Macaca mulatta: one gene and its partners. The protein of the gene in region 1 interacts with the protein of each later gene in a biochemical or structural test. Links are inferred from orthologs where the notes say so. Each region holds a gene or a part of one and is shown in the gene's direction. Other genes may lie near its edges.

Region 1 (4,115 bases):
CCCAAAGTGCTGGGATTACAGGCGTGAGTCTTTTTTTGTTGTTGTTTTTTTTTGGGGCAGAGTTTTGTTCTTGTTGCCCAGGCTGGAGTACAGTGGCGCCATCTCAGCTCACTGCAACCTCCGCTCCTGGGTTCAAGCAATTCTCCTGCCTCAGCCTCCCGAGTAGCTGGGATTGTGCCACCATGCCCGGCTAATTTTTTGTATTTTTAGTAGAGATGGTGTTTCTCCATGTTGGTCAGGCTTGTCTCGAACTCATGACTTCATGACCTCAGGTGATCCACCCACCTCGGCCTCTCAAAGTGCTGGGATTAAAGGTTTGAGCCACCGCGCCCGGCCTTGAGCCACCGCGCCGGGCCCAGGTTTACACCACTGGTTCCCGTGCGTCTCAGGCCTTTGGGCTTGGATTGGAAGTGCACCACCAACTTTCCTGGGTCTCCAGTTTGCAGATGGCAGATCGTGGAACTTCTCAGCATCCATAATCTCGTGGCCAGTCCCTTATAATAATAATAATAATAATAAATTTATATATCTCTATATATCCTATTGATTGGTTTCTCTGAAGAACCATAAGACACCATCATTCTGCAAATATCCTTGAGGCCTGCCAATTGTGGCTTCAGAGTTTTAAGAAAACATGGTTCCCTCTTGAATTACAGGCAAGTAAACGAGATTACAAAACATTGACAAAGGCTTGGATCATGCTGTTGGACCTTTGCTTGAGCTGTTCACCCTCCGTTGTCACCTCTGTGAAGCTGACCCCAGGCCTAACCAAATGTTCCTTTTATGCTGTTCTGGGGACGTTTTCTGCATGTCACTTAACCACATAGTATCACACCTAGTTGGTTGGTTCTGCATTTTCCTTCCCCACTAGACCGCAAACTCTCAGCTGTTGTTGGTACTACTAAGCTTATCTACAGGGCCTCAAAAGGAGCCGGAGTACAGGGCTAAGCGCTCAGTATACAGGGTACGAACCAATCAATGCAAGAATGAACGTGCCACCGGGTCTTGCAGGCTTGCAAAGTGCTTCTCCAAGCTGATTTTACTTTCCGTGCCCGGGCAGCTCCCGTGAATTTTCGGGGGGAGCCGTGGGGAGCCAATGGAAGGAGAATGAGAAATGCAGTTCCACTGCACTCGGGCTGCCCACGTCCGGCGAGAGGCAAGGGATCAGACAACTTCTGCACCTCCCGGAAGCGGCTGCGCCGGCCCCGCCCCTCCGGAGGCAGGCGTGGCCTCATGAATAATGAATCACGCGGGGGAGGGGCCGGGCCCGCCCCTCCGGGCGGGAAGGGGGAAGCGCCGAGGCTGCCTGACTGGAATGAGGGTAGCTGCGGCGGCTGGAGCGGGGCCGGCCATGGCGGTGTGGACGCGGGCCACCAAAGCGGGGCTGGTGGAGCTGCTCCTGAGGGAGCGCTGGGTCCGAGTGGTGGCCGAGCTGAGCGGGGAGAGCCTGAGCCTGACGGGCGACGCCGCCGCGGCCGAGCTGGAGCCCGCTCTGGGACCCGCGGCAGCCGCCTTCAACGGCCTCCCGAACGGCGGCGGCGCGGGCGACTCGCTGCCCGGGAGCCCAAGCCGCGGCCTGGGGCCCCCAAGCCCGCCGGCGCCACTTCGGAGCCCCGCGGGTGAGGCGGGCGCGTCGCCTCCCGTGCGCCGGGTGCGGGTGGTGAAGCAGGAGGCGGGCGGCCTGGGCATCAGCATCAAGGGCGGCCGCGAGAACCGGATGCCGATCCTCATCTCCAAGATCTTCCCGGGGCTGGCCGCCGACCAGAGCCGGGCGCTGCGGCTGGGCGACGCCATCCTGTCGGTGAATGGCACCGACCTGCGCCAGGCCACCCACGACCAGGCCGTGCAGGCGTTGAAGCGCGCGGGCAAGGAGGTGCTGCTGGAGGGTGAGCGGGGCCGGCCGGGCGGGCGGGAGGGTGGGCGGGCCGCGGCGGCCTGGGCTCGCGGGAGCTCACTTTGTTCCTTGCCCCGCCGGCGGGGCGAGCCGGTTCTCTCCCCCTCTCTCCCCAAACCCGGGTTTCTGGAGCTTTCAGTGTGGAAAAACGGATGCTTCTTGCAGGAAAAGTTGGGCAGCCGCCGAAGTGTTACTTGCAGCCCCTAAGGAAGACTCGGCTGAGACTGAGTAAAAAGCAGCTGCCTATGAAGCCTCCTCTCGGCCCGATAAGCTGACACTAAGAACTTGAGGCAGAGCGAACGGCTCGAGTGGGTCTGTCTCCGTTTGCCCGCTGAGAAGTGCCGGGTTGGCGCTTAACTCACTCACCTCTGGCTCCTCGGGGCGGGTGGGTCTATTAAAAAAAAAAAAAAAAAAAAGTCCGTCCACACCGATGCCAGCTGTATGCTTGGGCAACCCACCAAAGAGCTGGTTAATTTATGGGAATTTAACCCATCATTGGCTCTCAACAATAACCGAAGGAGATCATAGCACTTCATTGAAGCCAGAAAGCTGAAACAGCAAGTCTGTGTGGTTAATGAACCTTGTTTAACAGTGGAGGCTCACGTGTTTGAACATTTACTGCCAACTAGAGTTTTGCCCCTTTTGCAAGTCTGCTGCCAGCTTCCTACCACTCACAGGCGCGCTATTAGGGTTTTTGTAAGAAACTTGAAATGGCAAATCACAAAATAGGTTTCAGTAACCAGGATTATTCTTTACAGTAAGTTATATGTATGTGATCTGTAAGTTGGATCTTTCTGATGAATTTGAACTAGGGCAAAAATAAAATTCCTCTCCTCTAAGAACTCATGCATGTTGGAGGTGATATTGTAAATTATAAACGAAGAGTCAGTTGCTTTCTTCATAAATTTTTGAGCGGTCAGCTTTCTTTCGCTGGTGATTATTGCTAGCTGTGTTGAAAAGAATATAAAAGAAGATGCTGTCCCTACTTGGTCTCTAGTTGGAGAAATGATAGAAAAATGCAAAACAACTTATAGGGAGGAAAGGAATGAAGTTGGCGATTACGTCGTGCAAACTATATTTAAATACCAAAGGAATGCAAAGTTAGAAAGTAGTGGAGATGGAATTAGCCAGGGAGGACTTTTTCCCGGAGCTAAATCTTGAGCCGGGTCTCCAAGGAAGTGATGGACATAGGCAGGCAGGGATGAGTCAGGAGGGTATTCCTGGCAGAGGAAGGACAGAAGGGAAGGGCTGGGGGCTGCTGGTGAAGAAGGACCAATCAAACCGAGGGGCCAGAAGTCCAACTTGGCACAATGGATTTTCACTTTCTTATAAATCAGCTTGTGAATATTTGGAAAAATACTGGTTTACCAGAAATGATTTCATGTACACCAGTTGTGAAATTCCAGTGTCCCACCTTTATAATGTCCTATTTATAAACCTTATTTATATTGCACGTCTAGGTGGGGCTAGACACTGCTCGGAAATTAGTGTTAATAGGAGTAAAATTAAGATTGTGGTTTGGGTGTGTGTATAAAAAAATTGTTACTCTAAACATGTACCTTGAAATTGGTCTAGCTAAGCATTTGGTTATAAATTCTTACATCCAGAATGCACTATTTATGTAGTCCTCACTTGTGATGGGCAGACAATTGAACCTTTTACACCATGTTTAAAAAAAAAAAAAAACCCAACACTTTTTGGCCAGGCATGGTGGCTCATGCCTATAATCCCAGCACTTTGGGAGGCCAAGGTGGGTGGATCACCTGAGGTCAGGAGAACGTGGCGAAACCTCGTCTCTACTAAAAATACAAAAATTAGCCGGGTATGGTGGCAGATGCCTGTAATCCCAGTTACTAGGGAGGCTGAGGCAGGAGAATCGATTGAACCTCGGAGGTGGAGATTGCAGTGAGCCAAGATGGCACCACTGCACTCCAGCCTGGATGCCTAGCCTGGATGACAGAGCAAGACTCCGTCTCAAAAACAAACAACCCACTTTTTGTGTAGGTATAGTTTGAACCTAGTATTCAGACTAGTAAAATGAAAACCTTGTAGCAAATGCTTCCCAGTCTTTATTGGACTAAAATAGGCCATGTGTGCTTTTAGAAAGATGGCAGCATAATAACATGTTTATTGAATGCCTTTTTGCCTAACACACAGGTTCTACTTTATTTTCCCACTTTGTATAAGACAAGCAGTTTTTGTTCTTATAAGTTGTGAGGAA
Region 2 (3,642 bases), on another chromosome or scaffold:
GCAGTGCAAGTCTGCATGCGAGAACCAGGCTGGCTGCATGTGCCCAGGTCGTGAGTGCCAGAGGGCAAGGAAGAAAAGGATGCGGCCGAGCGCGGTGGCTCACGCCCGTAATGCCAGCACTTTGGGAGGCCGAGGTAGGTGGATCACCCTGAGGTCAGGAGTTCGAGACCAGCCTGGCCAACATGGTGAAACCCCATCTCTACTAAAAATTAGAAAAAGTAGCCAGGCTTGGTGGCATACACCTGTAATCCCAGCTACTCGAGAGGTGTTGGTTGCAGTGAGCCAAGATTGCACCACTGCACTCCAGCCTGGGCGACAGAGTGAGACTGTCTCAAAAAAAAAGAGAGAACGATGAGCAAACCACGGTCCCATGTTAGTTGGGGGGACAAACCCGAAGCTCCCAACCTCCCCCTCATCCTGGGTGCTGGGTGGAAGAAGGAAAGATCCCTCTGGCTAGTGAGGAGGAGGCAGAGAGGCAGGAGGGCTTCTCACAGGAGGTGTCTCATGTTTCAAGGACTCTCGGGATGATATGAGGGTATCCCCGCCTTTTGAGGATGACTCTGGGTTGTCCTGGAGGAAGTGACCATATACCTGACCCCGAAGGGAGGTTCTGACATTTTGGTGGTCACTGCTGTGTTTCACAGATAAATTTCCGCTGTAAGCCGTCCTTCCGTGAATCAGGCTCGAGGAACGTGCGCGAGGTAAGTGTCCAGGGTAGGGTGCTCAGGGACAGGGCCACCCTAAGATTCTGGCATGGGCCTCTGTGCAGTGCCTCCGGAGTGCCACCAGAGGGCTCGGCTCCCTCTAGGCTGGTGCTCTCTGAGGTCTGAGTTCTGCCATGCGGAGGCCTAACTAGCGCTGCGTACAGAGGGGGTGGGACAGCTTGTGCCTCTTGGTGCTTCCCAGCCTTCTCCGGCTCTCCTCTGACTCTGAGCCTCCCCTGGGCCATGAAGAGAGTCTTCAGCCCCTCCTCCACTCATGCGCAGGACTGCAGAGAGCTTCCTGCAGCCCCCACCTTCGATGTATTGAGCCATGTAGGCCGTCCTCAGGGCTGTGCCCCTGCCTACCCCTCACCTGGTGAAATTTCTCCACTTCTCCCCCAGCCAACCTTTGTACGGCACCACTGGGTACACAGACGACGCCAGGACGGCAAGTGTCGGCACTGTGGGAAGGTGAGAGGCCCTGCCCGAGGAAATCGCCACCTGCACCCATGGGCCTGAGCCCAGGCTGTGTGGCCAATGTGGCCTGCCCATCACTGACCGCACCCTGGCGTGCAGAGTCCAGGGCTGACTCTCAGCCTGGCTGCAGTGCCTTCAGTCCCCAAACACCCTGGCCTGCTCTTGGTCTCTGGGCTTAGCAGGAGAGCAGGGAGGAAAGTTTTCTTCCGACGTGGCACGCCTGGCCTGCTTTGAAGCTGCAAGTGGCCCTTTGGAGAATCATATAGACTTACTCATTCGGTGACTCCGTGGATACTTGTGTGCCAGGCACCAAGCTGGGCAGTGGTTTCCCACCCTCCTGAGGACAGTGTGGCTTGAAGCCAGGCTTTCCAGGCGACCGCCTAACACAGTCCACAGTTGTTTGGTTCACTTACTTGTTTGCTTCTTGCCCGCCTCCCTCAGTAAGTGCAGGCTGTCAAAGATGGAGAGGCTCACTTCACTGATTCTCAGCACCTGGCCCACTACAGGCCTTTCATAACAGCCTGTGGGATGAACAGGGAATGAATGTGATAGGTACTCGGAAGCAGCAGTAAATTTCTTTAAGAGCACATGGGGGCCTGGTCAGGCCTCGGGGGTAGGAAGGAGGGAAAATCCGAGTGAGGCAGGAGTTAGCCTGCAGTATGCACACGGTGCTGTGCAGGTAACTTCAGGGAGTCAGGGGGCCCTGGCTAAGCAGCCCTGCTCTTCAGGCTTATTTATATATATATATATATATATATATATATATATATATGTGTGTGTGTGTGTGTGTGTGTGTGTGTGTGTGTGTGTATTTTTTTTATTTTATTGTAAAAAAATGTGTTCAGACTGGGCATGGTGGCTCATGCCTGTAATCCCAGCACTTTGGGAGGCTGAGGCAGGAGGATCACCTGAGGTGATGGAGATTCAAGACCAGCCTTGCCAACGTGGTGAAACCCCATCTCTACTAAAAATACAAAAAATTAGCTGGGCATAGTGGTGGGCGCCTGTAATCCCAGCCACCCAGGAGGCTGGGACAAGCGAATCGCTTGAACCGCTTGAACCTGGAAGGTGGAGGTCGCAGTGAGCTGAGATCACGCCACTGCACTCCAGCCTGGGCAACGAGTGAAACTCCATCTTAAAACAAAAACAAAAAATGCGTTCAGAGCTGGGCATGGTGGCACATGCCTGTTGTTCCCAGTTACTTGGGAGGCTGAGGCAGATTGCTTAAGCCTGGGAGTTTGAGACCAGCCCGGAAACATAGTGAGGCCCTGTCTCTGGGTGGATAGAGGTTGGCAGCAGGAGAGGGACTGGGTCTGCTGCTCCAGGCCTGCCCTGGTGCCCATCCGTCCTGTCTACCCTCAGGGATTCCAGCAGAAGTTCACCTTCCACAGCAAGGAGATTGTGGCCATCAGCTGCTCATGGTGCAAGCAGGCAGTGAGTGGTGCCCCCGCCCCCAGGGCCACGCCCTGCACTGCTGGGTTTGGGTCCCCGAGTCCAAACACGGTCCCGCTGAGCCCTACCCCTCACTCTCCTCAGTACCACAGCAAGGTCTCCTGCTTCATGCTGCAGCAGATTGAGGAGCCGTGCTCCCTGGGGGTCCACGCGGCCGTGGTCATCCCGCCCACCTGGATCCTCCGTGCACGGAGGCCCCAGGTGAGTACTTCCTGCACCCTTGATGCCCCCCACGTACTTGGGGTCTGCCAGCCACCCCAGCCTGCCCACCTTGTCACCAACGCCCCTGCTTCCCTTGCAGAATACCCTGAAAGCAAGCAAGAAGAAGAAGAGGGCATCCTTCAAGAGGAAGTCCAGCAAGAAAGGGCCTGAGGTCAGTCCCAGGCTGGACAGAGGCTGCAGGGGGGCCGGAGAGAGGGGTCTGTGGCTCAGGGTACAGACCTTCCGCCCCCGGCTAATGCTGCCAGCTGGCAGGGGTCCGTGTGGGCTCTGGGGCCTCTGAGAAGGCAGGATTAGATGCCAGTTTCTGCTCTGTGGCCTGGTAAGATCTGGCCCAGAGGTGGTACATGCGGGTACACAAGGGGGGACAGAGTCACCCAGGGGGCCTGCTAAGGATGATGGTAGGGTGTCGTGGACAGGAAGGAGCTTACAGGCTCTCGCCTTGTCTCCCAGGAGGGCCGCTGGAGACCCTTCATCATCAGACCCACCCCCTCCCCGCTCATGAAGCCCCTGCTGGTGTTTGTGAACCCCAAGAGTGGGGGCAACCAGGTAAACGTGGCCTTGCCTCTCAGCTGAGGGCTCGGGCGGGGATTGGGGTCCAGCCTGTCTGCCAGCAGCTATTCCCAGAGCCCGTTCTGGCTTCTGCCCCAATCCCTCTTTCCCAGGGATCCTGAGAAAATCCTGTCCTTTCTCCACCCCTCACCCCTTATTGGCCCTGGTTCCCACAGTCACACCCCTCTCCCTGTGCTTCTCCCACTTCGTCCCGCCACTGCCTGCCTGTCTCTCGGCTCCC
Region 3 (4,096 bases), on another chromosome or scaffold:
GGAAAGCAAGAGAGGAAGGAGATCAAACTTGAACTTAAGAAGCTCACTCTCCTACTTATTGGATGACTAGAGTGGAAGCAAAAGAGCAGTTAGCTGATTGTTGCAGTGGTCGTGGTGAAAGGGTACAGTGTTTTAGTTCAGGTAGTGAGGATGGACAGAAGTGGACTGATGGGAGATGTATTTTGCAGGCAAAAACCATGAAATGATTGATTGAGTTGGCACAGGGGGAGAGAAAGGAGAGTCAAAGCTGATGATGAGGCTAGGCCCGGTGGCTCACACCTGTAATCCCAGCATTTTGGGAGGCGGAGGCCGTTGGATCACCTGAGGTCAAGAGTTCAAGACCATCCTGGCCAACAAGGTGAAACCCCATCTCTACTAAAAATGCAAAAATTAGCCAGGCAAAGTGCCCTGTGCCTGTAATCCCAGCTACTAGGGAGGCTGAGGCAGGAGTACGGCTTGAACCCAGAAGGTGGAGGTTGCAGTGAGCCAAGATCACACCAGTGCACTCCAGCCTGGCCAAAGAGCAAGACTCCATCTCAATAAAAAATAAATAAAAGCTAATGATGAAAGCTAATATGTATGGAGCATGGAGTATATACCAGTCCAGTCATCTTTCTAAGTGATCCACATTAGTGTAACTAACGAAATCTTCACAATCTTCGTGTGAGGCAGATACTAACTATCAGTACCTCCACTTTGCAGATCAGGAAACTTGGACGCAGACAATTTAAACAAGGTGCCCAAGGTCATACTCTTAGTAGATGCCCTGCTAGAACTGGAATCTAGGCACGCCTAACCACTTCTTCTTAAGGAAGAGACCAATACCATCAATGACAATGAGTAAGAGTACTTATTCTACCCGCTTTTCTGCTTCTCGTCTTCGGGTTTATCATTCTGGACCCACCTATCTTTCCTGGCCCCCCACTCAACTTGACCCTCTTCGCCCACCCTGGGGCGGGGAGACAGAGGTGGTCCTAGAAGAGGGCCACAGGTCAAAAAGGGGTGGGGCCAAGTGGGAATTCTAGCGAAGCGCCTACTATTTGACGGAGGAGGGATGGGCTGGGTAGGTCCCCCTCTCCGACAGGGCTCTTACGCCATATGTGACGCAAATTAGCTTACGAGTCGGGGGTGGAGGTGTCGTCAGCACCCGCCTGCTGTTGGCCGCGCTGCAGCGAGAGGGGCATGTAGACCCCGCCTCGTAGGGAGGTGGGGAGCGGCAGGCCCCGCCTCGGCCCCTCCGGCAGGCTCCCGCCAGCGTCGCTGCGGCTCCGGCCCGGGAGCGAGCGCCCGGAGCTCGGAAGGATGCGGCGCCCGCGGCGGCCTGGGAGTCTCGGGGGATCCGGGGGTCTCCGGCTGCTCCTCTGCCTCCTGCTGCTGAGCAGCCGCCCGGGGGGCTGCAGCGCCGTTAGTGCCCACGGTCAGGAGGAAACTTGGGCTGGCGGGTGGTGGGGGGCGGGGAGCAGCTTGGGGCCTGGAGCGAAACTCGATGGGGGTGGGGGTGAAATGTCATGAAGCTCGGGTAGAATATGGGTTGGGGGAGGCATGCGAGATGAGGAAGGTGAGAGGGCGTCTGGGAGGAAAGGGGCGTAGGCCTGGAGGTGGGGCTGGGAATACGGGGGCGGGACCTAAGAGAATTGGGCTCAGGGGAAAATTGCAGGTTGGGGAGAAGGACGCGGGGTGCATGTGGGCAGAGGGACTTAGAGACCGGCTGCGAGACCACAGGAGAAGCCAGTTGCTCCGAGGCGCCTGGGAGGCGGTGACAGGCGCTGAGGAATGGGAAGAGGAGGGGGCGGGGACGTGGCGGGGAGGATGAGGGAACGGTGATCTCTGGGCAGTGGAAACCTGGGCCGCAGGCATAGAGTCCCAGCTGCGCCAAGAGAGAGACCAGGGTTTCTCCGTAAGCCTAGAAAGGCTGATTGCAGCGATTTGATCTCCTGTAACGGGGGACAGCACGGGGAGGGGGCAGAAGAGGATGAAGAGGGGAGGGTCCTCTCCTGTCCCCCTCCCCACAGCCAGGCCTGGTGCTGACTCACATCTGTGCGGACAGAGACAGTCAGCGCTGACTCACGGGCGGGGGGTGGGGGTAGGAGGACGGCGCGTGGGGGAAGGGGCGCAGCCTCGCCGCCTGGCGCCCTCTTTCCCCACCCGGGCTTGGAGGCCCGAGAGGCAGAGTACTTCCTGTGACGCTGTGGGTTGGCAGAATAGAACAGAGGGCTCAGGTCTAGTGGACAGTCCTCGCTCTGTGACCCCTTCCTCTCTGGTAACCGCCTCCAGGCGAGCCCTTGGCGGCGCCAGACTTAGAGCTTCAGCACCGCGGACAGCGCCAGCGGCTCGGGACAGCGCGGGAAGAGCTGCCTAAGAGGCACCCTCCCCAGCCCCACCCATACCTTCTTTCCCCCGACCGGGGGAAGTGTGCTAGGGTTTCCACCTCTTCTGAGTTCCAGGCCATTATAGGATGCTTTTGGATATTTGGGAAGGAAATTCCTCTTTCAGAATTTGGCCAAAACCTCTCCTACAGTAATTCTATGAGTCTCTCTCCCTGCACCTGGAAGGTTTCTTCCCCATCACTCAGTTAAGCAAACAGGCTTTTAAGGATACAGACTCACAAATTCTTAAAATCCAAAACTAGATCCCATGATTCCTTTTAAGAATTTCAGGCCTGATTCCTACTCTCCTCCCAGCTTAAGGCCTTCTTTAGAATGAAAGAATAAATTGCATCTGCTTCTCCCTTTCCCAGCCTGTCCACCTATCTGCCCATTCTCTGTGTGTGGGTGTCTGAGCCTCTGCTCACCTGTTCCTCTACAGGCTGTCTATTTGACCGCAGGCTCTGCTCTCACCTGGAAGTCTGTATTCAGGGTGAGTGAGGCCCAAGCATAGAACTCACAAGATGGGGGTGGGGTGGGGAGAGGGGTAATAAAAAACTAGAAGGGGAGAGAAGGCCCAGAAAGGAAGAGGGCTACTGGACTCGAGAAGAAGGAAGACTTGCCTGGAAGAGGAGAGGTAGGGGAGGAGGTGAAGAGAGTACTGTTCATTTGCAACCTGGACTTTGGAAAGCCTCTTATTCAAGCCCCCTGCTGACACCACTTTTGTGCCCTCAGATGGCTTGTTTGGGCAGTGCCAGGTGGGAGTGGGGCAGGCCCGGCCCCTTTTGCAAGTCACCTCCCCAGTTCTCCAACGCTTACAAGGTGTGCTCCGACAACTCATGTCTCAAGGTAAGGTCTGGGTGCACTGGAGGAGAGAGATTGGAACTTGGTTAGTTATGGGTGGGGAAGAATATTGTTCTACAAGGAATATTCTTATCACCCCCACTGCTGGAGCCTCATCTTCCCAGATCTTGCTGGAGTGAGAGGTGGAACCCTAGAGATGGGCTATTCACATTTGGACTCTCTGGAGAAGCCCAAAGGAGGCTTCTAGAAGAAGTCACTGGAAAAGGCCAGCTTCCATCTCCTTAGGACCAGTTCCTCTCCCTGGCAGAGCCAAGAACTCTGGAATCCTCAGCCAGGATAATATTCCACTCACCCATTCTTCATTCAACAAGTATTTATTGAGTACTGACTGTGTAGCAGGCATAGTTTTAGGTATTTGGGATGTGTCAGGGAATAAAACAAAGATCTCTGCTAACTGGAGTTTATGTTTGGGGGATAAGGGGAGGGAACACACTATAAAAGTTAGAAAATACATAGTGTCTTAGAAGATGATAAATAGCATGGAATATTACAGCAGGATAAAGGGATCAAAATGGTGAGGTAGAAAGCTACAGTATTAAATCAGGAAATCAGGTGGTCAAGGTGGACATTATTGAGACTATGAAATCTGAACAGACTTTTTAAGGAGGTAGGGGAGTTTGTCAGAAGGTTATCTAGTGGAAGAGTATTTCAGGCAGACCAAATAGCTAGGACAAAAGCACAATTCTGAAGAACACCATGCAGGCCAGGGGACTGTAGAGGAGTGATGGAGAGGAAGAGTAGAAGGTCCAGTCAGGTAGGTAATGGGAGAAGGAATGTGGATCACTTTAGGGCCTCATAGGGGAATGTATGGACATTGGCTTTACTCTGAGTAAAGAAGGAAACCATTACAAGATTTGGAGCATAGGGGT

Evidence for each region.
Region 2: the proteins of SNTB2 (region 1) and DGKZ form a complex in vitro, tested with the Homo sapiens proteins (2 studies listed by BioGRID and IntAct, with this or other methods). The link is inferred for Macaca mulatta from reciprocal best matches to the Homo sapiens genes SNTB2 and DGKZ.
Region 3: the proteins of SNTB2 (region 1) and PTPRN form a complex in vitro, tested with the Homo sapiens proteins (2 studies listed by BioGRID and IntAct). The link is inferred for Macaca mulatta from reciprocal best matches to the Homo sapiens genes SNTB2 and PTPRN.

The regions. Positions count from the first base shown.
Region 1 is NC_133425.1:64,804,463-64,808,577, forward strand, and holds the start of SNTB2 (beta-2-syntrophin), read left to right. Parts: upstream 1-1,298; 5' UTR 1,299-1,315; coding exon 1,316-1,886; intron 1,887-4,115. UniProt on the Homo sapiens protein: Adapter protein that binds to and probably organizes the subcellular localization of a variety of membrane proteins. May link various receptors to the actin cytoskeleton and the dystrophin glycoprotein complex.
Region 2 is NC_133419.1:19,238,283-19,241,924, reverse strand, and holds part of DGKZ (diacylglycerol kinase zeta), read left to right. Parts: intron 1-47; coding exon 48-134; intron 135-644; coding exon 645-701; intron 702-1,103; coding exon 1,104-1,172; intron 1,173-2,540; coding exon 2,541-2,612; intron 2,613-2,714; coding exon 2,715-2,831; intron 2,832-2,931; coding exon 2,932-3,003; intron 3,004-3,302; coding exon 3,303-3,398; intron 3,399-3,642. UniProt on the Homo sapiens protein: Diacylglycerol kinase that converts diacylglycerol/DAG into phosphatidic acid/phosphatidate/PA and regulates the respective levels of these two bioactive lipids.
Region 3 is NC_133417.1:124,555,929-124,560,024, reverse strand, and holds the start of PTPRN (receptor-type tyrosine-protein phosphatase-like N), read left to right. Parts: upstream 1-1,253; 5' UTR 1,254-1,302; coding exon 1,303-1,417; intron 1,418-2,805; coding exon 2,806-2,856; intron 2,857-3,098; coding exon 3,099-3,212; intron 3,213-4,096. UniProt on the Homo sapiens protein: Plays a role in vesicle-mediated secretory processes. Required for normal accumulation of secretory vesicles in hippocampus, pituitary and pancreatic islets.